4 linked regions of the Lonchura striata genome follow. The protein of the gene in region 4 interacts with the protein of the main gene of each other region in a biochemical or structural test. Links are inferred from orthologs where the notes say so. Each region holds a gene or a part of one and is shown on either strand. Other genes may lie near its edges.

What was found.
Region 1: the proteins of BCL2L1 (region 4) and SIVA1 form a complex in vitro, tested with the Homo sapiens proteins (2 studies listed by BioGRID and IntAct). The link is inferred for Lonchura striata from reciprocal best matches to the Homo sapiens genes BCL2L1 and SIVA1.
Region 2: the proteins of BCL2L1 (region 4) and PMAIP1 interact in a biophysical measurement, tested with the Homo sapiens proteins (3 studies listed by BioGRID and IntAct, with this or other methods). The link is inferred for Lonchura striata from reciprocal best matches to the Homo sapiens genes BCL2L1 and PMAIP1.
Region 3: the proteins of BCL2L1 (region 4) and BMF interact in a test that uses a peptide from one of them, tested with the Homo sapiens proteins (2 studies listed by BioGRID). The link is inferred for Lonchura striata from reciprocal best matches to the Homo sapiens genes BCL2L1 and BMF.

What each region holds. Positions count from the first base shown.
Region 1 is NC_134608.1:8,754,325-8,761,135, reverse strand, and holds SIVA1 (apoptosis regulatory protein Siva), read left to right. Parts: upstream 1-3,966; 5' UTR 3,967-3,990; coding exon 3,991-4,108; intron 4,109-4,593; coding exon 4,594-4,770; intron 4,771-5,432; coding exon 5,433-5,589; intron 5,590-6,058; coding exon 6,059-6,116; 3' UTR 6,117-6,297; downstream 6,298-6,811. UniProt on the Homo sapiens protein: Induces CD27-mediated apoptosis. Inhibits BCL2L1 isoform Bcl-x(L) anti-apoptotic activity. Inhibits activation of NF-kappa-B and promotes T-cell receptor-mediated apoptosis.
Region 2 is NC_134642.1:39,295,324-39,301,488, reverse strand, and holds PMAIP1 (phorbol-12-myristate-13-acetate-induced protein 1), read left to right. Parts: upstream 1-4,889; coding exon 4,890-4,941; intron 4,942-5,260; coding exon 5,261-5,460; 3' UTR 5,461-5,655; downstream 5,656-6,165. UniProt on the Homo sapiens protein: Promotes activation of caspases and apoptosis. Promotes mitochondrial membrane changes and efflux of apoptogenic proteins from the mitochondria. Contributes to p53/TP53-dependent apoptosis after radiation exposure. Promotes proteasomal degradation of MCL1.
Region 3 is NC_134608.1:32,359,878-32,366,774, reverse strand, and holds the start of BMF (bcl-2-modifying factor), read left to right. Parts: upstream 1-3,872; 5' UTR 3,873-3,972; intron 3,973-6,897. UniProt on the Homo sapiens protein: May play a role in apoptosis. Isoform 1 seems to be the main initiator.
Region 4 is NC_134619.1:7,570,103-7,577,819, forward strand, and holds the start of BCL2L1 (bcl-2-like protein 1), read right to left. Parts: upstream 3,025-7,717; 5' UTR 2,857-3,024; intron 2,759-2,856; exon of another isoform or gene 2,705-2,758; intron 2,291-2,704; exon of another isoform or gene 2,160-2,290; intron 1,916-2,159; exon of another isoform or gene 1,911-1,915; 5' UTR 1,805-1,910; coding exon 1,250-1,804; intron 1-1,249. UniProt on the Homo sapiens protein: Potent inhibitor of cell death. Inhibits activation of caspases. Appears to regulate cell death by blocking the voltage-dependent anion channel (VDAC) by binding to it and preventing the release of the caspase activator, CYC1, from the mitochondrial membrane.

The sequences.
Region 1 (6,811 bases), on a different chromosome or scaffold from region 4:
AAACAACATGCTCTTGTGAACAGATAATGTCTGATCCCAGCTGTAAACATGTCTGTTAAGGCTGATGTACTAAGAAAAGGATACAGAAGAAAGCAAATGGCCCCTTAGCCCTTCAGGTAAAAGCAGTTTTATGCAAGGAGGGTTTTTTTATCTTCAGATCCACACTGCAGAGCAGAGAAAGGACAGTGCAGTGGGACTGAGCACATGGGGTGTGGCACTTTTCCCTAGGCCCACCAGGGGACCTGTGCCCATCCTGACAGCCCATCCCACAAAACACAAATTGCATGCTGGCACATGGCCAACTATATCAGCTACTATCATATAATTTCCACTGAAAAGAATTTCCAGATTATTTCTTTAACCGTTTTAACATGAAAACATTAAAGAACCAGCGAGCTGGCCAAAAGCCACTCATTTTATACCAATTCAACCAAGGAAACTCCCCATTTAAAGATGTGTAGGAGGAAGAGTCCCACCTCTATGTGATGTGCTTTGATGTCTTTCTAAATGGCCTAATAATGGAGGAATAGAAAAAAATGGGAAATTTTACTACAAGCACATGGAGAGGAGGACTTCAATATAAGTGAAGCTGAAGGGATAGATAAAGTATTTTAAGGCCTGGATCACTATTTGTCTACTTCTAAATCATCAGTGGATCTTCCTCAAGGCTCACTGCTCTGGAACTAAGAAAAAAAACCACTCAGCACCATTCTGCTGGGTAACAATTCAGAAGACTGGCAAGTGAACCAGTTCCCTCCCTGTGAGGTGCTCAGGCCTGCTGGTGCAGAGCAGGCAATTATTTTGCCTTCATAGCTTGCAAAGAGAAGAGAGCTGGTCAGTAGCAGATGTTGGTAAGGTGAATCTTACAAAACAATTAAGAGATGTCACCACCTGAGGCTGACTCAGAGATGCACAGAAGAATCCTGCAGTGGGTTAGTGGTGGTAATGTGTCAAATGTGATCAGCCCTCAGCAAAAGCTGGACTTGATGATCCTTGTGATTCCCTTCTAACTCAGAATACCCTGTGATTCTGCAAAAGTGTCCTTAAATTTACTCTTCAGTGACAGCACCAGCACCACTGTTTCACCATGAGCTACTCCCTTTCAAGTCTACTTCATATTTGAGATCAGTGTTTCAGAGCACTCCTTTCCCACAAGTGGAATAGTGCTTTTAGCTCTTTCTCCATATTTCATCCAGCTCTCAGACAGCTGAGCTCCATCCATATTTATCCCATGCTATGTTAATGAAGTATGTGTGATCTGCTGTCCTCTATCCTGACAGGGCTCTTTCCAACTACAATTACATTCTGCAATTACATTCGCATTAACCAGTATTTCCCAGAGAACCCAAAGAACATCAGGGACATCAAAATATTTACAAAGTTGTGAATATTTACAAAGTAGTTTCCTTAGACAGAAAGAAAAGGCCATGAGTTTTCAATGTGCAGTTGGAAAAGTCTGCTGAACATACTTAAGCATGGCATTTGCAATTATGTGCAGAAAAAGCCAAAGCAGAAATCCTTGCAGATAAAGAAAGAGTGGCAGGAGTAAGATTTTGGAGCTCAGAAGGGATTTTTGGGAATTGCTGTGAATTACAATCATAGACCAGAAGGCTGGGCTCATCAGGTCTGCAGAAAAATAATTTAAAAATCACATTAACCTGTATGAAACCAGAATGGTTGTATGTGCAAACTATTAGCAGTTCAGCAAACTCACACTCATCATTTTGGTGTTTGGACAATGCTCTCAAGCATTGGTGTGAGTTTTAGGGCTGTCCTGGGCAGAGCCAGGATGCAGAGCTTGATGATCCTTGTGGGTCCCTTCTAGCTCAGGATAGCTGTGATCCTACAGGCATAGTCAGGCACTGTGCTCAGTACTACTGGTCTTGGGGTTTCAGTAGTTTTGGAAGAACTCGAGCAATGAAACCAGACAAGAGTTAGTCCATTAGGTATTGTGGCCCATTTTCAGCACATTAATCCATGCCATTCTAAATCTTGTGCTAGTATTGAAAATGTAAATTTTTATGATTTTCTGAATGAAAGGCTTTAAAAAAAATACTGATTCTATCACTACTTTTTGAGAAGGTTGTTATTGTTTGGGTTTTGGTGTTTAGAGGTTTTGGTTGTTTCTTTGTTTTCTTCAGAAGAAGAACTTTTTTGATCAGAACAAAACAAAGAAACCAAGAACAAGTCCTCTACCCTTAGCAGACTGTAAGTTCATTCATGGAAAAATCGCTCCTGTACTTGGTTGTGATTCCACAGTACATGGAGGGGAAGTTTTGAATTCAGAGACCTCTGGAAGAAATAAAACTCTCTTGACAGATCACCTTCAAGTGACACAAAACATGGCACCTAAACTCCAACACCATTTTAAACTTGTTTGCCCTGAGGAAAACAATGTATTTTCAAAATATACATAGTATGCAGACTGGTTGCCACTTGGAATGGCTCCTGATACTTACTTTTAACCATGTAACCACACCTGCGGTGCTATAGATCCCACTTGTAAAAAGCAAATTAATTGCAGTAATTTCCTTTCACAGCAGAAGCTCTTGGAGAGCATCAGTCCCCAAAAACTCATTGTGCCCACAAGTGGTGAGCCCATTCGTGATGTTGGCTGGTGCTGAGGAGCCCACCAGAGTCCTCTGGCCAGACAGGGATTCTCTGGCCTCCCTGGTGGTCTTTCAAAAAGGAAATTCTCAAGCTTGTGCCCATTTTTGTTGGTCCCACAGCATTCAGACAGCCCAAACTTGGGCAGGGGGTTTAGACTGCACAAAGAGCTCCATGAGCCCAGCGTAGTGTGGGGGCTGCCAAGAAGGGAAAAGAGAGTTCATAAACAAGTTGTATGCAGGACTGGAAAGGATACTAAGTAAGTTTAAAGATGAAACAAAATTGGTAAGAGATGTCGATTGCCTGAAAGGAAGAGGCCTTGCAGACAGACCTCAACACATTAGAGGGCTGGGCAATCACCAACTGTATGAAGTACGAAAAGGACAAATGCCAGTTTCTGCACCTGGAACAGAGCAACCCGGAATGTAGAGACAGACTGGGGAACTAGGAAAGGGACCTGGGTGTCCTCATTGATGGGAAGTTGGGTCATTGATGAGCCAGCCTTGCCCTGGCAGCCCGGAGAGACAATCCTGTCCTGGGGACATCACATCAGGAGTATCATGGCCAGCTGGGCAAGGGAGGGGATTGTCCTGCTCTGTTCTGCACTGCTCTGCCTCACCACAAGTGCTGGGGGCAGTTTTGGGTGCCACAATATAAAAATCTGTTAAAGCTATTAGAGAGGTTACAAAGGAGGGCTACGATGACGATGAGGGGTCTGGTGGGGAAGCTGCACAAGGAGCAGCTGAGGGCACTCCGTCTGTTCAGCCTCAGTTACAGCTTCCTCATGAGGGGCAGACATTGATCTCTTTCCTGTGGTGAACAGCGACAGGACGTGAGGCAATGGGCGAAAGCTGTGTCAGAGGAGGTTTAGGAAAAGGTTCTCCACCCAGAGGGCGGTCGGGCTCTAGAACAGCTCCCCAGCGAGGCGCTCACAGCCGCCAGCCTGACAAGAGTTCAAGAAGCGTTCGGACAACGCTCAGGCACCCGGTGCGAGTCCTGCGGTGTCCTGCGCAGGGCAGAAGTTGGGCTCGATGATCCCCGCGGGTCCTTCCAACCCCGCATATGGGTGACTCCGAGTTTACAGACAAGCACCGGCCCAACGCCGCTGCGGCTGTGCCGCGGCCCCGCCGCCGCGGAGGCGCACGGCGGTGACGCCTGAGGGGCGGCGGCGGCGGGGCCGGGCCGGCGCCTCTGCCAGCCCCGCCGGCCGCTCGGGACGCGGCGGGAAGAGGGATTTAGCGCTGCGGACGGAGCTTTCCCTTCCCTGCGGAGAGAGCGGAGCGGCCGCGGGTCCCGAGCGGCCGGGCCGGGATGTGAGGGCGGCGGCGGCGCGGCCGTGACGCGGCGCGGGGCGGGGCGGGGCGGGCGCGGGTCGGTCCGGCCATGCCGAAGCGCTCCTGCCCCTTCGGGGACGCGGCCCCGCTCCAGCTCAAGACCCGCGTGGGGCTGCGGGAGCTGAGCCGCGGCGTGCGGGGCGAGGAGTACCGGCGGGAGGTGTTCGGTGAGCGGGGCGAGGAGCGGGGGGCGCCGGGCCGGCCGCCCCGCCGGGGGGATGCGATGTGCCGGCCCGCCGGGGGGATGCGATGTGCCGGCCCGCCGGGGGGATGCGATGTGCCGGCCCGCCGGGGGGATGTGCCGTGCCGGCCCGCCGGGGGGATGCGATGTTCCGCCCCGCCGGGGGGATGTGCCGGCCCGCCGGGGGCATGCGATGTGCCGTCCCGCCGGGGGGATGCGATGTGCCGGCCCGCCGGGGGGATGTGCCGTGCCGGCCCGCCGGGGGGATGCGATGTGCCGGCCCGCCGGGGGATGCGATGTGCCGCCCCGCCGGGGGGATGTGCCGTGCCGGCCCGCCGGGGGGATGCGATGTGCCGCCCCGCCGGGGGGATGTGCCGGCCCGCCGGGGGGATGCGATGTGCCGCCCCGCCGGGGGGATGTGCCGGCCCGCGGCCATGGGGAGCCCGCCCGTAACTCTGCTCTCGCCGGCAGAGAGGACCCGGCGCCTGCTCTTCAGGGGTGCCCAGGCGTACATGGAGGGCGCGGCGGCCGCCGCCCGAGCGGCGGAGCCGGGGCCGGCCGGGGAGGCGCAGGACGAGGGTTCCCGCTGGAGCGGGCAGCTCCTCATCGGACACGACGGGAAACTGCGGCGGCGGCCCGCGGACAGGGGTGAGTGAGTGCCCGGCCGGGTCGCGGAACCGCGCGATGCCCTGAGCTGCAGGGACCCGTCCAAGTGCAGCTCCATCCCAGGACACCCCCGGCGTTCCCACCATGAGCCTGAGAGCGTTGTCGGAATGATTCTTAAACTCTGGCACTTCCCAGAGTTTAAACCTTAACCACTTCCCTGGGCAGCCTGTTGCAGTGCCAGACCACCCTCTGGGTGAAGAACCTTTTCCTAATATGCAAGCCAAACCTCCTCTGACGGAGCTTGAGGCCATTCCCTCTGTTCCTGTCCCTGGTCACTACAGAGACCAGTGCTGCCCTTTGGCTTCCCCTCCCTAGGAAGTCTGTAATATGATGAGTGGTTTACTGCTGTGTGGTTCTTCTTTATTGACTTTCCTTAAAGGAAGTGTTAGATTTGAGCTGACAGATTTCGGAACTGTCGCGTGTTGTGTTCTGCTTTAGATCACTTTGCATCTTGCCGCTGAGCAGAGAAAGAACCAAGGACGTTCCAAGCGGCGCTCCCTGTCCCTTCTCATTCCCGAGCATCCTGTGGAGTGCTGCCACCTGTAGCTGTGCACGGACGCGCTCTGCAGCTGCGGGAACTTCCAGCTGCTTCCCCTGCCTTGCTGTAGAGCTCATCCCTTCTTTTCCGTGTCTTTGCCGAGCAGTTCCACCGGTGGGAGCGTCCAGAGCCTGCTCGTCGTGTGTGAGAACGGCCGATGTGAAGGAGGCGTGTGCGCAGTGTGACCGGTTCGTGTGCCAGAGCTGCAGCAGGCTCTGCAGCTGCTGTAACACCGTCACCTGCTCTTTGTGCTCCGCTGTTGAGTAAGTGCCTTTCGAGTTTGGAAGCTTATTTTAATTACACATGGCCTGGTAGCTGGGTGCAGCCGATATCTGGCTCGTACCCATAAAGGAGTTAAACAATTCTCTTGCTTTAGCAGCAGTAAAACTGTCTGAAACATGCAAATTAAAATGCCTGTGTGAAGCACTCTAATCAACCGTAGTACAAGTCTAGTTCAGCTTCTTACTTAAATGCTGTAGGAGGCAAAAATTTCTCCTGCTTCCCCACCAGCAGGATAGCATGCTGGCCAGTGCTGAATGCATGCACTTCCAAGGAATAATCTTAATTTTTTTCTCTCATTGTTAACAGTTCTGTGGATAAAGAAATACTGAGTGTGCTGTGTGGGAGTCCCATGGTTGCAGTTGATAATGGAATAGTATGCCATTGTTATGTTCCAGAAACAGCAGGCGCTCTGACTTTTGTTTCTTCTGTTTTGTTTCTTTTTTTCCCTAGTTATGGTGATGTGGGAGAGCAAGTTCTCTGCAATGGTTGTTCAGTATTTCAAGTCTGAAACTTGATGAAATAACCCTTGTGGCTAAAACATCCATGAATTTCATGAAGTCTTCTCCTTACAACTGGTTAAATAATCCTTTTAGCATGTGAATTAGTTATGGAATTTCTATGTTTTATACATTATATTGTACTTTTAATATTGTAGCTAAATAAACATTTATATTTTAAAGCTTTTTAGATTGAGTCGGCTTTTTCCTTTTCCCTAGTTGTGATGTGCCTGTCTGGAAGGGACCACTCTGTGCTTTTACCTGGTGGTCCTGATGTGATACAGGATTCCGAATATTCTCTTCACTTGTTGGTCATGTTAGGACACACTTTTGTGGGATCAGAATAGAAATCAGTTGCTCCTTCTGTGCTTTCAGGTGAGTGTGAATCCATTCTGGACACACAACATTTTCTTTGCGAGCTATCTAGGAAAATCAGCCAGGCCTAAGGGCTTTTCCAAATAAGACAATTTGCTGATTCTGGTTAAGTTTTTTTTTTAAGCTATCACAAATATCTTGTGGTTACTGACAGCTTGAATGGTTTTAATCTTTCTGTGGTAACTTTAATAGAAAGAGCAATAGCACACCAGGCTTGGAGCAGAAAAATTTTTCTCATTAGTAAATTTTCCAGTACGTTCACTGAAAGGTCTTTCTTGGAAAGCAAATTATCTGTATGAGTTTATCACCCACTCTGTAAACTTCATATTGT
Region 2 (6,165 bases), on a different chromosome or scaffold from region 4:
TGCTTCGCACAGAGGCAGTCACAGAGAAAAAAGTGTGTGTTTAACCCTCTGGTAGTGACAGAGCACTGTAATATATGAGCAACCATGCAGTTCATTTTTACTAAGAAAATTATGCATTTAAGCTTTCAAGGGAAGCAGGCAAGAGAGAACAGCATAGGAGGGAAAGACTAAGAAATAATTGTGGGGCATTAAGTAACATTTAAACAGCACATGAGATCTGTGCAAGGGGGGGTTATAGCCCAGCAGTGGATGTGCAGTTCTTCTTAGTTTCTTTTCCTGGATGGTGTGGGATCACTTTGTCAAGTCAAAGACAAATTAGCTGGAGTATTTTACTTAACTACTGAAAGCTACATTAAACTTTTCCCTCACCACAGTGGACGTGTCAGCAGCAGTAGCTACTGGAGGCCAAAGTTTTACTGCAGTTGCCACCAGAATATTATTAACACAGAACAAGGCTATTTCCCTGAAAAATGAAGTTGAGATTAATGACTAAGGCTGGAGGACTTAGGAAGCTTTATTCATAACCATGAGAGAGATCCCTGGAAGAAAGATGTCTGAGAAGAGCAAACCAGAGAATCAGACTGATACATGAAAAAAACCCCAGCAAAAATAAAACCAACCCAAACAACCACCAACAAAAACACAACAATTAAAAACCCCCAATCCAAAACACCACAAAAACAAACAAACAAAAACTTATCCATGGCTCTCATCACACTCTTGGCATGGCCCATGGCCACATGCCAGTGCACTTTCCTGAAATGACCTTGGTTTGTACTCCTGACAATAGAGCCAAGTTTCCTGATCGGGTGCATAGACACACATGGATCAACAGGAACTGTCAACTCTGCAGTCTGCAGAAACGGGAAAAGGGAGACAGAAAAACAAACAGCTTCTCAGTTAACACGAGAGCTGTCAACACCAGTTTTGGGAAGATGAGAAGATAAACTCCAATGATGAAACAGTATCAGAGATTTATTTAAGATCTTAGAGGAAGGCGCAGAAACTGCTTGAAAATGATTCAGCACAAATAACTGTGTTCAGATAAAAAAAAAAAAAACAGCTAGTTTCCTTTCTCTCCCTCTCTTGATTTCGTTTCTGCAACATTCAATTTCCTTTCAGCAAGCCTGCCCACTCTTGTTATGTGTGGTGAGAGTATGTCACATGCTGTCTTTTATGGACATGCTCCTGATAAAACCACATCACCCACAGCAGTGAAGCCTGGGGCACATTATCTAAAGATGATTTTCTCTTCTCAGCTGTGTAATTGCAATAATTTTAAATGGTACTAAGCAGAAATAAACTGAACAGCAGCTCCAGCTGGCCGGTGCTCCTTGAGCTACTGCTTTGTTCTCTGCCATGGCTGAGCCCACCTGGCGATCTGTGGTCCTGCTCAGTGTGGCCACAGCAAGAAAAACTTTTGTGGCTGCTCTGGTAGAGCAGACTCCCAGGGGTCTGTGCTTCCCACAGATATACTTCTTTGTTTAGGGGAATCAAAACAAGAAAACATCAGAGCTTGCCAGTGGCTTTTGAAACCACAATCAACTTCTTTTCGCTCAGCCTGTTGCACAATCCTATAATCAGCAGCGGCCCCAACATGCACTGTTCCCGCCAAAATGGGCTGTGATTTACACATCAGTAACTCCCTCACACACCAGTAAAACCCTGCGAGGATGTGGGCCAAATCTGGAACTTGAGGCAATTCCCCTCTAAGCAGTATTGAGTCTCCCTGCATTACACCACTGTACTCAGATACATGGCTCTGACTGTAGCAATTGGAAAACAAGCACTTCAGGTACTTGGGCTCACAGGATGGTTTATTAACCTATTTTGCACACCAAAGTGTACCCTTTTTTTTTACCTTTTATCCTTCTGTATTATCTTGTATCCTTTATTACATATTATCTTGTTTTTATTTATCTTTTTCACTACTTTAAAATAAAGAATATAAATTAATGCTCTCAACTCAACCATCCCACTAGTTTATGCACTGATAGGAAAGAATCTCTCCCCCACAGACTCAAAAGAAGCGCCCATCTCTTTGTGTGGCTGCAGGGGTATAGACAGAAGCTGCCCTTTAAGCTTATCTCCCTTCAGGGTGAGGAAGTGTTGCTGAGCAGGACAGGATTGATTGAGGTTAATTTGGTTTTGGCTTTACTTAATGAAGAGTAATTTAAATAATTTGCCAAGGATGTAATCTGTCTCCAGATTCACAAAGAAGAACAAGCCATAAGTCATAAATGGCTCTGTCTAAACATGCAAAATAAATGTGCAAAGTCACACACACATGCCAGTGGCATAAGAGACCAGTATGACCTCATGGCTTGAGTTTGTGGGTGCTTTGCCTGCACTGGGCTCTGCTGAGCACCGAGTAGGGCAGGAGGGGCATGTGGGGTGCCCTTTAGTAAGATGGCAGTCTCAGTTAGGCCCTAGCCCCTTGTGATGACATTCTGGAGAGGCTTCCATGATTTGTGGAGCAGCTCTTGGAGTGAGGCTATGAGATGCAGCCCTAGGCATCACATGCTGCAGACCACCACACCTCCTTCACGAGGTATGACGCATCATGCAAACATCCTCCTGACCTGTTTACCTGCCTTGCCATCTCCTATAACCCAACAAACTTGTTTTGAAGACATAGTTTCTTATGTAACAGGAATGCCTGAAAAAGGCCAGTTCTGCCTGAACAGGGCTGAGTTACTAACAGGCATGTTCATACAGCTGAAGGGACCCCAAACATATCAGGTCAAGGAAATTAGCCCACACGCCTTATAGGTTATATACCAGCTGAGAGACAAAGGCAATGCATCCTCAAAAACATTAGAAACTTTTCTGTGGCCAACCTAAGCTGCTCTGACACCAGGTCACGATCTGGCAGGGTGCACTGTGTGGTGCTGACAGAGCTGGTTTACTGCTTTGGGAAGGGCCTTGCAAAAGCTTCATCCAGCTATAGCTTTAATTTAGATGTCTCACCCTGAGAAATGTCTTGTCTGTGAGCTTGTATCACTGCCCCTCCCACATGCCAGCCCTGCAGCACCACTGTGCCAGATGCCTCCTGTCAGCACCAAGGGGCTGAGGTTTCCTACACAGGGAGAGAAATCAGCCATGTTTCAAGATGTTTTTCCATCATTCTGGGAAATAGCAGGGAAAAGGCTGTCTGCACTGTGCTGGTGAATGCTTCCCCTTTTAATGGAACTTCAAAGTCACCAGCATTTCTACACACTTGACTTCAGAGGTTTCTACCCCATAAAATGGAGCCTCTTAACATCCTGTTATGGGTCCGTATTACACTATGACATTTTAAGTTTTGTTTTGATGGGAGAGGTAGTAATTTACTGACTTTCAGCCATAAATCAGTTCTTTGTTATGTCTGACCCATCTGTGCTTTCTTTGCATCAAGCAGTTTTCATTTTCCCCTAAAAGCAGAAGTCCGTGGCATGTGTCACAACATGAAATATCAACTCTCTCAGAGACAGGAGGCAGATGAGTGATCCACGTATCACTGGCAGCTCTCCCAACATTCTGCAACAATCACAAAGACATGAGCGTGACTTTGTTCCAGCTCTTGTTTCCTGCAAAAAACACCATCTAAAATTACAGCAGCCACAGGTAAGTGTGCCCTGTCATGTGTCAGCCAGAACCATGCCATGCAGACCCTGCACTGCAACAGGAAATATCCAGCAGTGCGGGGGAGTGGCCCCCAAGCTGTTGCAAGTGGTACATGGAGATTGTTTCTCCATGGCTGGTGTGAGTGCAAGGTCACTATCACTTTGAATAAAAGTAAGGCTTAGAGAATTGGGGTTACTCAGCTTGGTAAAAAGGAGGCTCTGGGAATGCTTTATTGCAGACTTTCAGTATCTGGAGGGGGGCCTATAAGAAAAACTGGGACAGACATTTCAGAAGGAGCTTTTGCAATAGGACAAAGAGTCATGATTTAAACTAGGGGTGCATTGATTAGGTTAACTATAAGGAAGAAGTTTTTTATTTGTATGGTGAAGGTTGCCCAGAGAAGTGGCGGATTTTCCATCCTGGGAAACATCCAAGGTCAGGTTGAATGGGGCTTAGAGCAACCTGATCTATGTGACAATCTTTCTGCCGTTGTGGCTACAAGCAGCAAAATACAGGGGGACTGATCTAGAAAACCTTCAAGAAGTCTCTTCCAAATAAAGCTATTCTATGCTTCTATGATAATAACACACTCTGTTTCTTCTGCTTGTCCAAGCACTCTCCATCTCTCCACTTCTTCCTCCTCAGCATCATCATTGCAACCCTGTCCACGTTCCCTGGACCACCACCATTACAAGCGCAGCCCACCCTCCCATTTCTCTTTGCCTAGAGCAAGCCCAGCTCGCCCTTCTGCCTCTTTGTGCCCTGATGATACAAACCGCACTGTTCATCTCCCCTGACCCACCACAAACCCACCCCACGCCTCCATCCCCTTTTCGCTTAGCAGTCCCCATCCCTCCACCTCTGTTCCGCGCACAGCCCATCCTCCCGCTCCGCACACCGCACTGCTCCAGCCCTTTCCGGGCCGGCAGCGTGGGCGGTGTCCCGGCCGCGGCCCCGCGCCGCCCGGGCACGCCGCCGCCTGCCCGCCGGGCGCGGGGGGCGGGATCCCCGCGCCTTTTCGCTACGTCAGGACGGAGGGAAATCCCCGCTGGACTGCACCGCGCTTTTAGCGCCGCGCTCCGCCCCCGTGCCAGCACAACGCTGCTGCCACCGGCCCGAGAGCAACCTGTGCGCTCCGTGCCCCGCCGAATCGAGCCTGAGCTCTCCGCGTCCCGCCGGGCCTGGGCGCCCCGTGCCCCGCCGAATCGAGCCTAGGCTCCCCGTGCCGAGTCTCGCCGAGCCCCGGCGCTCCGTGCCCCGCCGATCCTCGTCCCGCCGACGCGATGATGCCTGGCCGGACCCCGCGCAAAACCGCGCCGCCAGCCGCTCCTGCAGGTACCGGAGGGGAAAGGAAAGGCGGGGGACGGGACGGCATGGGATGGGACAGGGACAGGGACAGGGACGGAGAGAGACACACCGTCCTGCTCCCGGGCGCTGCTGCCCGGCTCCAGCACCGGCTGGGCGGCCAGCGCCTGGCGCGGCGGCGGACGCTCGTTTGGAGGCGAGAGGGATGCAGCTGCTGCTCCCAGTGAGTGGGGGCAGAGAGGGTGCGGGATGGGGTGTGCTTCATGATGAGTAAAAGGTAAAAAAATTGGACATAAAGTGGCGTACTGTGGGGGTCCCTTTAAAGCGGTAACCACGCGCGTTTCCGCAGGGCGCGAGGCGGCGGTGGAGTGCGCCCTGGAGCTGACCCGCATCGGCGACAGGTGGGACTTGCGGCAGAGGCTCCTGAACCTGCTCGCCAAGCTCTTCTGCCCCGGGACGTGGGCTGCCCGCGGACACGGCGAGCGGAACGCAGGAGGACCTTGGCTTTGCGGATTTGGAAGAAGAGGCTCCACAGACATTGGGAGATGAAGAAACTTCAAATGTCGCTGCACTGTATTTACCTGACTGCAGCTGCTGAGGATGGCTATCACGTGTTTTCTCTGAAGAATGTTACAGCAATACTGGCATATGAATGCCAGATGGGAAGAAAAAGATAACAATGGGCAGAGCCTCTAAACTGTGCTGTGGTGACTTCGGGCAAGCTGGTGACATGGGGAGATTTGGGACAAGACTGAACTTGCCCTTCACCATGGTCTGAGAACACCTTCAGGAACCCAGTTTCCCCAGTCACCCTCTGGTCCTCATGTCCCATAGCCATGTTTCACCGAGGAGTTCAGCCCACCTCCAGGATGAAATAAAAAAAAGTGTCAGTCTGTTGGAACTTCGGATCACACACCACACAGGAAAAGCCAGTTGCTGGATCTTTGACTGTTCCTCTTCTCTAAAGTGTGGATCCTGCTGGACAGGGATCAAGTGGTGTTCAAATTTATTCAAATTATTAAAATTTATTGAAGACAATCACTATCTTTATTGAAAGGTTTTTTGTTACAGGATGTTGTTTTGCAGACTAAAAGTTGTAATTCTACGAATCAACAGTGTTGCATAATTCTAGTCTATAGTATAAATATATAGGATAAGTTTATATATATAGTATGTATACATAAAATATAAATGTGTGCACTGCTAGTGCATGTCATGAGTATTTAATAGAGCTATTAATTGAAAGCTGTTTGT
Region 3 (6,897 bases), on a different chromosome or scaffold from region 4:
AGCAGCAATATTGTTTGCTGTGAATTCACTGGGATTAGGCAAAATGCTGAAGATCACTATGCAGAAGATCCCAGTATCAGTATGCTTCCTCTGTTTTGCATGTTATTTGTTGGGGCAAGTTTGATTTCTTCTGCTGATGTAGGAGGCAGCTGAGGATGGTGCATCGTGTTCTGGACTTCCTAGGCAGTGAGCTCATTGCCCTCCAACAAGCTGGCACAATTAGATATGCCATACTCAGACAACCAAACAAGTTGTACCTAGTGAAGGCACTAGCTGAAGGTGTGGAGAACATACAAATATTTAAAAATTCTTCATTACTCCCATAACAAAATGAGCTAGTCAAAATTAGTGTTTAGTTTGTTAATGAAAAAATAGGAGAGGAGGATTACTTTGAGTTTTTTTCCAAGTAAACTGTAATACTCATGTAAATCTGAAAACATGACATTTTTGAAATGCCACCATTGTAGTGTGAGTGTATGTTCTAATCTGCTTTGTTTCCTGAAGTGGAGAGGGAGTTGTGTATCACTTGCACCACTGGTGACATCCCACTAAGGGAGATACAGTCCAGTCAGTTTCTGCAGCTTTAGAACAAAGATGGGCGTTATTACTGCACCAAAGAAAAACCTCTTTTAATAATATCACATCTAGGGTCTGACAGTCCACCAGGCCACAGCACAAAGAACCATGATCTATTCCAATAAAGTCAAGAGCATCACTGTGGAATTACACTTACATGAGTGAAGACTAAAACTCTTATTCTTATTCTGGCTGTTTTATCTGTTCCCAGTTACTCTAATTAGCAGTTCCCTGAGGAATGATTAATCCACCTATCTCCAGCTGAAGAGTACAAAGCTGACTATTTGAACAGAAATTTAATGCTTCCCACCAGATATTTTTAGGAACTATTTATTCCATGCCACACTTCCTTATTTTTGCATCTATGTTGGAGTTATACATGTGCGAAAAAGTGTGTGTGTCCTGTGCTTACATCTATTGTGGAAATAAATTAAATCCACAGATGATTTTAGAATTTCAGGTAATGCTCTTGCACTAGATCTGCTGGCCAGTGCTTGTTTGTAACACATTTGCTTAAAATAAGTGTTTTACAGAGTGTTTCAAGAACTAGTTATAAATAACATTTCATGAACAGTCTTGGACTAGTCAATTGTACCACCTGTAGCCATGTGGCTTTTAAGATGACTCCTCTGCCACATTAGGAGGCACTTAGGCATTGGAAGGACTTAGGCATTGTTGATACTGGTATTGGAACAATTTTCCCCAAATCACTGCTGTTATATTCACTCAAGCTTAAAGACTTGAGGGATATTTTCTTCCATTTCATTTTGGGCTCTCAGTCATGCACTGCTTTCCTGAAACTTCTAGCATTGAATCTCAGCAAATGATACCTGGATGTGTTTGCCTTAAAGACAGAAGAAGTTCTCACATACAGTGGGACCTCTTAATACTTCTCTAGGGCACGTCCATCACCTACCATCACTTTGCTCAGAGCCATGGTTTGCTGTAGGCTTTGTTTGATGGAAGATGCCACACTTAAGGTACATAAACATCAAACATACCAACATAAATATCCCCCTTTCAGCAGAAAACTAACCACAATTGCAGTGTAAAACCTGCACCAATATTCCCACCAGCTTGCTGGTGTAAATGAGGATAGGGACACAACCATTTGCAGCAAAACTGCTGGGCTATGAACAGAAGGGTGCCAGCACCAGCTGCACAGTGCTTACCTGTCCAACACAAATGTGAGGCGCTGCCTTTCCTCCTCCTCCCAGGACCAAACAGTCTCAGGTTACTCCATGCTGGCTGTGGGCAGGAGAATGTCTCTGCGCTGGAAGTTTCACAGGCTTTGATGATTTAATGTGTCTGTACCCTGAGGACAGGACTAGGTATTCCTGGTTTACAGTCACAAACTCTGATCTTTTTAAAACTTGCTTAGCTCTTCTTTGCTCATTTCCTTTCCACCTTGCTGGCTTAATCCAGGCTTTGGTCAGGTGAGATGGCTCTGGGAAGCTTTCCCACTGTGAGATAGCTACTCCATTACCTCTGTTACTGTACATTTGTTTAATTAATCGCTCATTTTGTTCCTGAGCTGTTGTGCTGGCCCAGTGCACTTACTGTATGCATGAGTGCCTAAAAGGTGACGAGGCTCCTAAGGATGACTCTGTCTCTTTCATTTATTTATGGAAGTTGAGCACATGATCCCTTATAAATTGCAGGCACCACTTGCTCAGCCTGACTGTAGATACAGTGCCAAAGGCTCCAGCCCCTCTCAGCTGGCACTGATGGCAAGCAAGGAAGGCAGCAAGGACCATGCTGCAAAGAGCAGGACTGATCAGCCCAGATCAGAAAAGCAATTAAACTTTATGTGGCATTTGAACTGTGGACCTGAAGGTGCACAAAATAGCCTTTGGCCACTCTAAGATCTTTTTTTTAAGTGCTGTGACTACTTAACAGAGGTAATTGTAAGAGCATAAATCAAGGGTTCTGTTATTCCTCAAGAGGCCAACATTTATTACAGCAGACTTTAAAATTATTTTGAAGCATAGAAATTATGAGAATTTACATAGCAAATTACTTATTGTCAACAGGCAATGTAGCAGAAGCTTCAGCAACAGCAGCTGAGACAAGCAGCCTCATCAGTATATGGGCTTATATTTAAGCACTGAACTGTGATGACAGATATTCCTTCTGGTAGGAATGCTGGCTTAAACAGCCCAAACCAATGGTTCTTATCCCTGAGCCGTCGTGGTCAGTCTGGGTCACCATCCAATCCCACAAACAGCTACTATGAAAAAGAAGCAGAGGGTGGCACATGGTGGGAAGGAGAGCGGGTGTGAGGGCTTGTCTTGGGGTGACTTGAGCCAGCAGAGCTGCTAAAAGCCATCCTTGTCAAACTAGGTTCCAGCTGTCTGAAGCCCTGGGATCTTTGCTTCTTTTTTGCCTAGAGACAGCTTTGAAGGTTACTCAGGTGTCAAACTGGGTGTTTCGAGGCCCACTTCATCCACCTTCTCAATCTCTGGCGTGTGAGCAGGGGGTGTGTACAGTGGGATATTGTAGGACATGCTGCCCCTGTGCAAAACACAGTCAATAGATGTTTCACTAATGTATACTTGGAGGATGGGATGAAGGAAGGTGACAAGCAGTTGTACTCCACAGTAGATCTGTGTGAGGGAGTCCACTGAAGCATAAAAATCTTCCTTGCCAGGCTACCTCAACTCCAATGCAGAGAATTTATTGTCCTGGATCCAGGCCCAAGGAGTGCAGCTCTGGCTCTGCTGCTATTTGAGTAGTCTGGGACCAACAATTTACCTGCAGTTCACTTTTCACCATCTGTTAAACATCTTAAGACAATTGTGCTGCATGTCAAACATGTTGGGTTCCATATCAGCTGGGTTATAATTAATGAGTGGCTATGATGTGGCTGTTGGAAGACTTCCACAGAAAGTGGAACTTCTTTTATCCACCACTCTGCCCCCCCTATTCATTCTCTGCACTTTCCCTGTGGGTATGAGTAGCTGAATACTGAGCACCGACCTGGTTTTCCTTGTTCATAAGCACTGCTTTTTTCCAGTACAAAAAGGAGATGCCGAAGAAGGTTATTGACTTCATGTAATTTCTCTGAGGTGCTCAGATACTGAGTTGCTGCACACAGTCTTGATAGATGAGATTAGATAAAGGAATGAGGTCAAATAGCAGCTTTCTGTGTTACTACCTTCCAGACAGGGGAGATGGAGCTAATATGATGGGCATCCTGGGAACAGCTAAGAAAGATAGGTCACTGGGATAGATCATTTTCTCCTCCTAGAACTGCAGATATGCAGACACTGTCCTCCATCTCATTCAACTCTTCACTATGCCTGAGATGCAGCAGTCAGAGTCCCTAAGTACAATATTTCTGGCTCTTCTTTTTCTTCTTGCAGTGACTGTTGGAAAACTGGATTTTAAAAAGAGGTATGTAACAAAAAAACAAATTTGTAGTTATAAAATTTTAAAAATTCACTAGCAAAAATGCTATCCTTTTTTAAAATTATTAAGTATGATTATTCTAATTCTAAGATATTTGACTGGAGAGCTAGAAAACTTGCAAAGTATGCTTCTGCTAATGGATTGAACTTGACAATGTTTTGTGAATTAATCCTGTGCCTTGGAAAGACTTGGATATATATTTTGTTCAAATGAATTGATTCCACAGAACACAACTTGTAGTAGCCTGTTAACAATAATTAAGTTGAGAAGAGTACTGCTCTAAGGGGATTTAAATCTTTATCTCAGCAGTAATACTTACCATCTAATTTTGATCAATAGTTAGAAATAGTTACTTACTTCCAGGAAAACCTGCACAAAAGCTGTCACTGGAATTACTTTTTTTCTGACATACTTGGAAGCATTTTTGGGAAAGACATGAGGAAAAGTTGGAAAATCTAGTCTTCCTGCATGAATAAAAAAATATTAGAGAAACATTTCAAACTATTTCATTCAGAGATATCCCAGGTCATCATCCTCCTCTTTCCTGTTCCACTTGAATTCCCCTTGCTCCCCAGTAAACCTTTGACACTGTCTCCTACGGCAGCCTCCTGGATACACTGGCAGCCCATGGCTGCTCGTTGGGTTAAGAGCTGGCTGATGGCCGGGCCCGGAGTGATGGTTAATGGTGCTGCATCCAGCTGGTGTCTGGTAAACAGTGGTGAAACCCAGGGCTCAGTGCTGGGACCAGTCCTGTTTAATATCTTTATCAACCACCTGAAGAAGAAGACTGAGTGTCCCCTCAGTCATTTTGCAGGTGACACCATGTTGGACAGGAGAGTTGATCTGCTGGAGTGTAGGAAGGCTCTGCAGAGGGATCTGGACAGGCCAGATCACTGGGCTGAGACCAATGGTATGAGGTTCAACAAGGCCAAGTACCGGTCCTGCACTTGGGTCACAGCAACCCCAGGCAGTGCTACAGGCTGGGGGAAGAGTGGTTTGAGAGCAGCTCAGCAGAAAAGTAGCTGGGTGTGCTGGTTGATCCTCTTTACAAAGAGGTTGATTACAAAGGCTTCTGCTACCTTCCTGAAGAAGGACACCTTGTGTGCCACAAACTTCTCTTGGAGTTCCTTCTTGACTCTCTGATTTGCAGTTTAGCACACAATAGAGGCCATGCCAGCAGCAGACCAAAGAAAAATTCCCCTGCACTGAGCAAATGCAGCACCAATGTCATTAGTTATTTGAAGAAATTGCCAGTCAGGATAGCTGTATGTCTCTAGACTGTGACACTTCTGAGGCTGTATCACTGTCTGCACCATTCAGCGCTGCAGTGCCAAAGAACAAAAATATCTCTAATATAATGTCATCCAGCTCTTTTCAAGGGTGCTCAGCCTGAACTGAGCAAGAGGAGATTTCTAGAGTCTCTCATCTCTTCCAGTATCACAGCTTCAGAAATCCTAGAATCCTTTCCTCTGGAGGAAGCCTCTGGCTATCCTTAGCATCACTGAATGATCCCTTTGTGAATTTGTGTCTAGGCCCCGGAACAGTGCCTGGTTTTCAAATCCCATATACTTTGTGCTATGAGGGGTGTCTCTTTCAACCCTGGAGTCTCTGTTCCATTTTGGGCTGAGACTACAGAGGTTTTGACCATAAACTTCTCCATTACCTCTCCAGTAAGAGTCAGTTCTTCCGATGAGAGCTGGTCTCCAGAAGTTCCCGATGTGGCGGTGTGCATTCCAGATTCCACTTCAATTATTCACACAGGACTGCTCTGTGCTACTTTCTACTCAGACAGCTTCCCTCTCTCACTTTTCTTTTAAATAAGACATGCTCTCCTCTAACCACAGAGAAAGGTCTCAGGAGCTGACATGTATTTACTCTAGGTGGGGTTCTTGATCCTACCCTTTTCAAAAGGAAGTCTCCTGTATCAGGTGCAACCCCAAAGACAGTTTTAGTGGAGCACTCTAGGAAAGACTTTCACCATTTCAATTGACTCGTCAATTAAACAAGAGCAAATCTAGAGGTCTCTGTCCCTCAAACTTTGGGCTTGCACTTCAGCTTTGAGGCATTTATGTTCTGTATGTTTCCTATACAATGTTTTCTGTTTTAAGAACATGAGGGCCCTGTCTTTTTGTGTGAAAGATTTGCTGTCCTTGACCCTGAGAATCCCAACCAAACTGTTCCAAGTCTGGTCTTGGGAGTGCTGCTGGTTCCTTGTGACCTGTCAGAAGCGCTTTGCTCTTGTGCTCACACACCTCAGACAAGATCAATGATTGGCATCACTGCACAGGAACCCTGTGAGAAGCAGCCAGCTCTGTGCAGCACAGCTGGGGTTATTAAATGTCCAATAGGTTAGACAGAAAGTCTTTCTGGACTACTAAAAATTATGCGATAGACTAATTAGAGATGACATTTAGAAAGGATCTTCCATTGTAGTTCCAGAAAGTCTCAGATTTCACCTATAAAAGGGGTGCTCTGACTGGCAGCTCAAGGGCCACACTTTGCCCAGAGAAAATTCCTTTGCTTTGCTGGAAATGGGGAACATCTGCTAGTACTGCACGTACGGCCCAGCAGCTGAATGACCCCTGTAGTGCCTGTACATAATCAATTATTAAGAGTCAGGGCCTGCCATTCTTGGAACCACATGGCCAGCAAGTCAGGCTGTGGGGAGAGGGCTGAAGAGGGATTTAGCCAGGATCACCTGGAAAGGCTCTATTGTCCCACCCATGGCTAGCATGTGTGGGGGAGCACACAGTTTGTTTTACACTAGGCTGCTGGGTCAGACAGGGTCAGCAAGACAGTAGATCATACAGCTTTTAACTGTGTTCAAATCCTATAGAGCTTTGTAGGAGATAGAAGAGCAGACTAGTATCAGCTGTATCAGTGCTGATAGCACTGGCTGGCTTTTTTCTG
Region 4 (7,717 bases):
ATGAAATGGCCAGCAGATCCCGGGCTACTAATCGAAACCAAGCTCCGCTCCTTGCCTGAGCAGCCCCACCCAGGCAGTGCCCCAGGGCGGTCACATTCCTGGAATTCTTTCAGTCTTCCTGAACTACCTCCCTCTCCCTGGGTGCACCAGCTCTCCCCTTCATCTCTGGGGTCCCCAGCATTGCTGGCCAGGCACGGGGAGCTGGGGAGAGCCTCTTCTCTGTGAGGAGGGCACAGAACACAGCACTGGGCTCAAAGGCTCCTGTCCCCTTCCCAAAATGCTGGGCTCTGCCAATGGACCGTGAGCTGAAGGGGGCCAAGAGGCCTCAGCTCCCAGCAAGGAGGCAATTCCCCACTGTTTAGATGCCAATGCCTGACAGCATGAACTCTTTCCAATGGGAACCGGTAAAGGTTACACCAGCAGGGAATCACTAAGATGCAGAAGCCAAATGAAAACTCAGACATCTGTAGGTCATATACCTCCCGCCGGCAGTCCCAGGCTGCACCGCACAGCCGGACCCGGCATTTCAAGAATGCTTCCTGAAGAAATGCTTATTCATGTTAATACCTCACCACTGAGAGCTCCCAGGGTTTGCTGCTGGGGCAGCTGGGAGCACTGCTCCCTGCCAAGGGAAAAGCAGCTGCAGGCTTAGAGCTCCCCAGCACAGAGGTTGCCTCCACCTCAGCTCTGGCTCCCACCACACCAGCTCAGACAGTCCTAGAAGCCCACCCACCCCCCGGGATCTGCTGTGGGATTCACTTCACCATGAGCAAGGCAAATGCTGTTTCCAGAATGAAGAAGTAGCTGTTACCTCAGCAAACCACCAGCCAGCCCACCACAACGCTGGCTTTGAGAGGAGGAAGCTCCACTCCCTGCTGTTAATGACACCAAGAACATGCCCCAGAGCCATGGCTCTGCTTGAAGAACAAGCTTGGATGACATTAGATTTCCAAAGGCTCTTGGAAAAACAGGTCTTTTACATAACATCCAGGGAGAAGGAGAAAAAGGAGGGATGGAGAAAGACATATCTGAGCACAGACTGTGTCAACACGGTGCGTTGGCCCTCTTGGGACAGTGTTTAGAGCACAGAAGGCAAGACCACACACCCCTTTATTCTCCCTGCAAGGAGTAGGACAAGCTCTAGCATATACATTGCAGGGAGCTGCACTCCAGCTTGACCAGCTCCACTGCCAGCCTGGAGCAAGGGAAGGCTTGGGCAGCCAGCCCCAGCACAGAGAGGTGATCTTACCCATCCGCCATTCTCCTGGATCCAGGGATCTAAGTGGTCGGTCAAGTACGTGGTCATCCAAGACACGATGCGTTTCACCAATACCCTCATCTCCTTAACAACGCTCTCCACGCACAAGGCTCCTCCGAAGGAGAAGAAAGCCACGATGCGGCCCCAGTTCACTCCATCGCGGAACAGTTCGTTCACTACCTGCTCAAAGCTCTGATACGCTGTGCTGGGAGTGATGTGGAGCTGGGAAGTGAGGTCGCTGAACGCCCGCCGGTACCTCAGCTCAAACTCATCCCCTGCCTCTCTCAGTGCCTGCCTCACATCGGCTGCTCGACGGATCTCATGGACTTCGAGGCTGCTCTGGTGCACGGTGGCTCCATTCACTATGTGGCTGGTGGCCGCGTGCCAGGAGGGGCTCCCGTTGAGGACCCCGTCCATCTCGTCCTCCTCCCCTGCAAAGTCAGTCCTGTTCTCATCCTCCTCTTCCAGCTGACTCCAGCTGTATCCTTTCTGTGAGAGCTTGTAGGAAACAAAGTCAATCACTAACTCCCGGTTACTGCTGTACATTTTCACACCTGGGACGCCCTCAATGAGTCCATGGTCCGGAGCACAAGCTGATCAGCACTTAGCAGGTCCCGACTCCACTCCTCTTCCTCGCGACCGATGGAAGCATCTGACCTTAGCACAGATGAGGAGAGAGGCACCGAAACGGTTAATGCCACAGCTCTTAGATGCACCCGCGCCATTACCACCGATAGCTTATCGTTATACTGAGATCACCCCGCAGCTCTACGCCGAGGCTCAGGGCCACCAGATTGAAGCTGCACAGAGAACCGACCACAACCAACCCCCTTCCCCGGAAAGCAGCCTTGAGCCCCGGGGACCCCCCACAAGCTCGTTCCGAGCAGACCCCAGATCTCACCGGGTGCGGGCTGCGCCTGGCAGGCCGGCTGCGGGCCGGGGCGGAGGCGGTTCTTGTTCTGCTGGAGCTTCGGGTCGGCCCGGAACGCGACAGCACCGCCCCCGCCTCGCCCCGCCCGTTAAAGGGCCCGGCGCCCCCGCCCCCTCCGCCGGCGTTAGCCACGGCAGCGGGCGGGCAGCGCTACCCAAGGACCACGGCAGCCCCGGGGCGGCCCGGTTTGATGGTCACCGCAGCCCCCCGCCACCCCGAAGCCCCTCTCCCCTCGCAGGCGGAGAGCATAAACCGCTGAAAGCCGGCGAGCGCTCGGCACCGCGGGAGCCGCCGCACGGCCTCGCGTCCCTACGGGAGCGATTCCAGTCACGGTTAGCGGCGCGTAGCCGCTGGGGCCGGGACGGTGACACGCCGGGCAGCGGCAGGCGGGAGCGCCGCAGGGGGTACCCGGTCCTCCCGAGCAGCAGACTGCCCCCCACCCCCCCACCGGACCGCGTCCCCCGGAGCCCCGCACCGCCCCCCCGGCCCCGGGACGGCCCCACCGGTCGCCGTACCTGGGGGGCGGGGCCGCGCACGAGGGCCGACAGGGCGCCCGCGCGGCCGACACGCCAGCCAATCAGCGGCCGCGAGGGGCGGGGCCCGGCCGCGGCCGCTCCCTTTGGCCGAGCCGCGCGTCACTCAAGCTTCACCCTACCCCGCCCCTCACCTCAGCGCCCGACTGAGGGTCCGCGTCCTTCCCGGCTCTGCTGGGCGGGCCCGGCTGGCAGCGACGCCGGAGGTCGCCGGGAGCCCCGCCGGGGCTCGGCCCGCTCAGCAGTCCCCGGATCCTTTCCACATCGCCCGCCGAGCGGCCGGGGGGGTGCGGTAGGGTGGGAGGGGGCAGCAGAGGGGCGGTGCGCATGCGCACAGCGCTCTGAGGCTGGGCGAAGAGCGTCGGTTGGACTGCGCGGGGGCACGGCGCGCACGCGCCACGCCGGCTGGGCCGGTGCGCATGCGCGAATGTGCCGGGCGGAGGGCGGAGCTCCGGCGCCCCCTGCCGGCCGCGGCGGTGGCAGCTCGGGCCTCCGCTCTCGCCGCGCCCTGCGGACACGGCCCTGCCGCTGACACGGCTGCAAACCCCTCAGAGCACTCCGGGATTAACGTGGGGTGTTTTGTGTCTCCACAGTGCTCAGGGAGCCCGTGCTGGGATTGTGAGGGGAGGTTTATGGGGGTAGTGCCGAAGCTGTGAAAGCGACTGTGGCAGCAGGGGCCTGCCCCGCCGTTAACAGCTGGCTACCCATCCCTCTGCAGCACTGCGGGGAAGATTATGCACTACTTGGGGTCGAAAACGCCACTGCGCAAATGGCACTTTGTCCTCACAGCATCGAGAAACCTAGCCGGGCTTACCAGACGGCGGAAGCCGCCTTTCCCGGGCCCAGCAGTCCGAAGGCTGATCTGCTGAGGAACAGCGGGTGGAAGCCGGGCAGCGGACACTGATACAGCCGCCGTACCTGAGCCCGGCTCCGGCAGGCTCCTGCCCGGCCCCGCGGCCGTACCGGCTGACACTGGCTCCGGGGTCCCGCCCGCCAGTCGCTGATAGGCCACCCGGAACGACACTCAAGGCATCCCCTTTTCTGATTGGTCTACTAGGTCCCGCAGTGCGTTATGTGAGTTGTGGTTCGGTTCTCGCCCGGTCATTGTGGCGCTGTGCAAGCACGTACTACATTTCCCGTCAGACTTTGCAGGGAGAGCGCAACTGCGTTGCTTGGGGTCTGATTATCCGGGTCCTGAAGGGGTCCAGCCAATCAGCGCGCCTCAAAGGGCGTGTGCCGGGCGCTGATTGGTGAGTTCGGACTGCGGGGTCCTGTTTGAAATCCGTTAACGGCGGCGGCAGAGGCGCCGCGCGGAGTGGCGGCGGCGCTGCTGAGGTGAGTGCGGGGCGCCGGCCGGGCACCCCCGGCCTCGCCTCTCCTTCCCAACCCGCAGCCCTTCTCCATATCTGGTCGTTCTCTCGCTGCGGCTGTTCCCCAGGCCTACTCCGAGCCCAGGTATTGGTAACGGGGCCGAGGGCTCGGCTGGGAAACGGCGACGGAAGGCGGCTCCGGGCGCTCAGCCCGTGGCCGGAGCCGCTATCGCGGTCTGGCGGGCGGGCTCGTAACGGAGCCCCGGGGGCTGGTTACGAACACCGTGTTGTCCGGGGAAGCCGAGCCCGGTGCCCCCGGGCGGCAGCGGGAGGAGCCGCCGTGGCGGGCGGTTCCCGTTCCCCTGGCGGGGATCGCGGTACCGGAGCTCCCGGCGTGTGCCTTACGGTGGGGTGGGTGCCTCGGCAGTGAAATAAAGTTCTAAGTTTTTCAACAGTCACGCAATCTGATGAAACAGTGTATTTCACGGCGGAAAGCTCTGTAATGTCTCAGTCCAAATCCCCCTTCCCAGGAAAAGGAGGGAAGCAAACCAGGCAAAACCTGGCCCAAGTATCAGAAAAAAACATTCGGGGTACTATTTTTATCTGGGGCTTTTTTTAAGCTTGAAGACCTTCAACTTAATGTAACAATTAGTTGAGGTTATGGTAGCTAAAAATAATTTTATTTTCCCTGAACGTCTATTCTTAGAATGTACCATCTTTATGTCTTCTGAAACTTGTGGGATCTTTTTTAGGGAGCACGAGATGTCAGGGCTGTTTATTTTTGGGAATGGGGGCGGGTCTGGGCCGTTAGCAGAGCAAAGGCTGTGCCTGCCCTTCGCCCCTGCCTTGGCTGCCGGTCGGGGTGGTCTGCGGAGCTTTCTGCGGGCTCAGCTCTCACCTGAGGAGAGTTAAAGGCCTTTTCTCCCAGTTTGAGAATTAAATGATGGAACAGCAGCGTTCTGGGAGGTAGTGGATCCATTGCTGATTGTGTGCTGCAGAAAAGCCTAGTTGATCTTTGAGTAAGGGGCACAAGAGAGGAGGGAGAAGCTGTAGATCCAGAGTGTGTTGGAAGTGTTCACTTCCACCCTGCTCAGGGAAAAGCAAGGATGAAGGGTGACTTTCTGAGGCTGTCAGTGTCACGCAGAGGGAGTTCAGATGATGGCTTTGTGGTGGGATGGTTCTCGCTAGGCTGTTGTAAATCCATTTCTAATGCTCCAACTTACATGTTAAACCCTGGAAAGCATCCAAGACCTTTGGATTATTATCCCAATAAAAAGAACAGAAAACTCTAAGGTGCAGGACAATGAAGAAGCTGCCAGGCTGAATTAAAGCTGCCTGGTTAGTGCAGCCTCCTCTGTTTAAGTGGCAGCTGGTGTTGAAGCCCAGCAGAAGGCCCTGGAATTGCTGGAGCACATTCCCATGCAGCTGCCTCGGCCTTGGGGAAGCTTCTCTTGTTCATTCCTGGTTTCCTCTTTTGGGTTCTGAGGCATGTGGATCGGCTGCCTTTGTGTTTATCTGCTGATGTAACTTAGACTAGCTTCTTGTGTGTTTGTTATTGTTTATTGTGCTTTCTGATCCTGTTAGGATTTGCCATAAGTAACATCTGTCACTTGTGAAGTTCCAGTGGTGTGTGGTGATAAGGCATCATCTCCAGTTCACCAGGGCCTTATCTACATTGCAAGGTGGCAAGAAAGAGCAGAACTCTGCCTTCCTCAGGATCCAGACTGAGTTGGGTTGGAAGGGACCTTAAAGCTCATCTTGTTCCAAACTCCCATCACCATTCTGGGCAGAGACACTGGACCAGCCCTATCCAACCTGGCCTTTAACACTTCCAGGGACAGCCACAGCTTCTCTGGGCAACCCTTGCCAGAGCCTTACCACCCTTACAGGGAAGAATTTCTCCCTAATATCCAATCTAAACCTCTCCTCTTTTAGTTTGAAGCCATTCCCACTTGTCTTATTGCAACCTTTTGGTGTCCCTATCACTATCCTGTCCTTGCTACTCTCCCACACTCCTCCATTTTCTCTCCCTCTGACCTTGATTTCTCATGTTGGAATGCTGCATCCTATCTCCAACCATGGCCTGAATGGCTAGGAGGCTTCTTTGTCCAGGCAGATTGTGCTGTTGGAACAAAATTCACAATTTCAGTGAGACAAACACACTGAACACATCTGTGATGGAATTGTGTCAGAATTTTAAAGCTAATTTGGATTACAGCGAGGTGTGAAGTTATTCCAAAATACCTATTGCACTTGCTGTTGGATCAGTCTTATTCTGGGATAGGAATGCTTGTTCCAATTTACTGTAATCCTTTTTCAAAGCTAACTAATCTAAACCATGCCAAGGCACTCTTCTGGAACGTGCCAAAGTGTAGTTACTCAAAAGAAACCTGATGTCTAGAGGAACCCACTGCCTATTCCTCCCTGTGGATACAGCTGTGCTGCTCTGGAGGCACTTTTAGGTCAGTGAGAGAGGAGACCTAGAAAGAAAATGAAGATTTTAATTAAGTAGTCACTTTATAGAAGGAATTTGGGGTCTTTTTGCAGGCGAGAAGATCAGATCTTCCTTTCCTGCCTCAGCAGCTCTGCAAACCAGGTGAAAGCCGATCCTGCAGAACGGGGGTGAGGGTTCCCCGGCTGGCTCGCTGCAGACACCCGTGTCGACACAGGAGGTGATGGATGTGGGGGAGAGCAAGGTCATGCTTTAAGTCCACGCCGAGCTGTGTAGGATTACAGCGTGCCTGTAATCACGCCTGGGAAATGCACACAGTGCCTGCTAATTAGGGAAAGTCCCTATTAATGAGGAAAAATTTCCACGCCTCCTTTCCGGTGGATGAGTGCTGCAGTGGAGAGAAAGAATTTTGGATTGAGATAAATGTGGTTGAGCTGTCAAAATCACAACTGTGTGTTTTAAAATGCCTGCAGGGAGTGGGCAGCGGGTGTTGGGCTGTGCTTGGCAGAGCCTGTTGGCATTGCAGATACCTCATGGTGGGCACAGGAGTGATAAATCACCGGGGCATTCCTGGCTGATCCTGTCCCAGCCCGAGTCGGTGGGTGGAGGAGCAGGATGCCTCTCAGTGAGCTGCTGCTTCACCCTCAGTCCTGTTCCGGGCAGGACTTGGAGGATATGTGGGGATTTCAGAAGCAGATGTCATGAGTTCATCTGACTGAATGAACTTTCTGGAGCGCAGTCACAATAACTGTTATCTCCCAGTTGTCTCTTTCAAGAAACAGAGTATGAAACTGAGGCAGCGATACAATCCTTTTCTTTTCCTGACTATTCTCTTCTGTCTGGGATAGAGGGGAGAGAGAGTGGTCAGCAATGAGGTCGATGATGAGGGTGGTGACACTGTGGAATATGGGCTCTACTCAGTAAAAAGCTGCAAACTGCAGCAATGTAGCAGTGGGCACAAGTAGCTGTGAAACATGATGCCCAGAGCTCTGACTCTGACTGGAGAGGGTGAGGGGAGAATGCAGATGACGCATTTGATTTTTAAAAAAGTCTAAAGTGTTGACAGAAATTCTATCTTGATTAAGGGCGGTAGGAAAGCATTTGATTCCAGCCATGTCTCGAGCTCAGTTACAGTTGGTTTTGGCTCTAATTCTTATGTTTGCCTTCTTTGGGCCCTACTTTGACATCTTCCCAGCCATGTAGCTGGTGCTTCTCTAATGACATTCTTGCCTT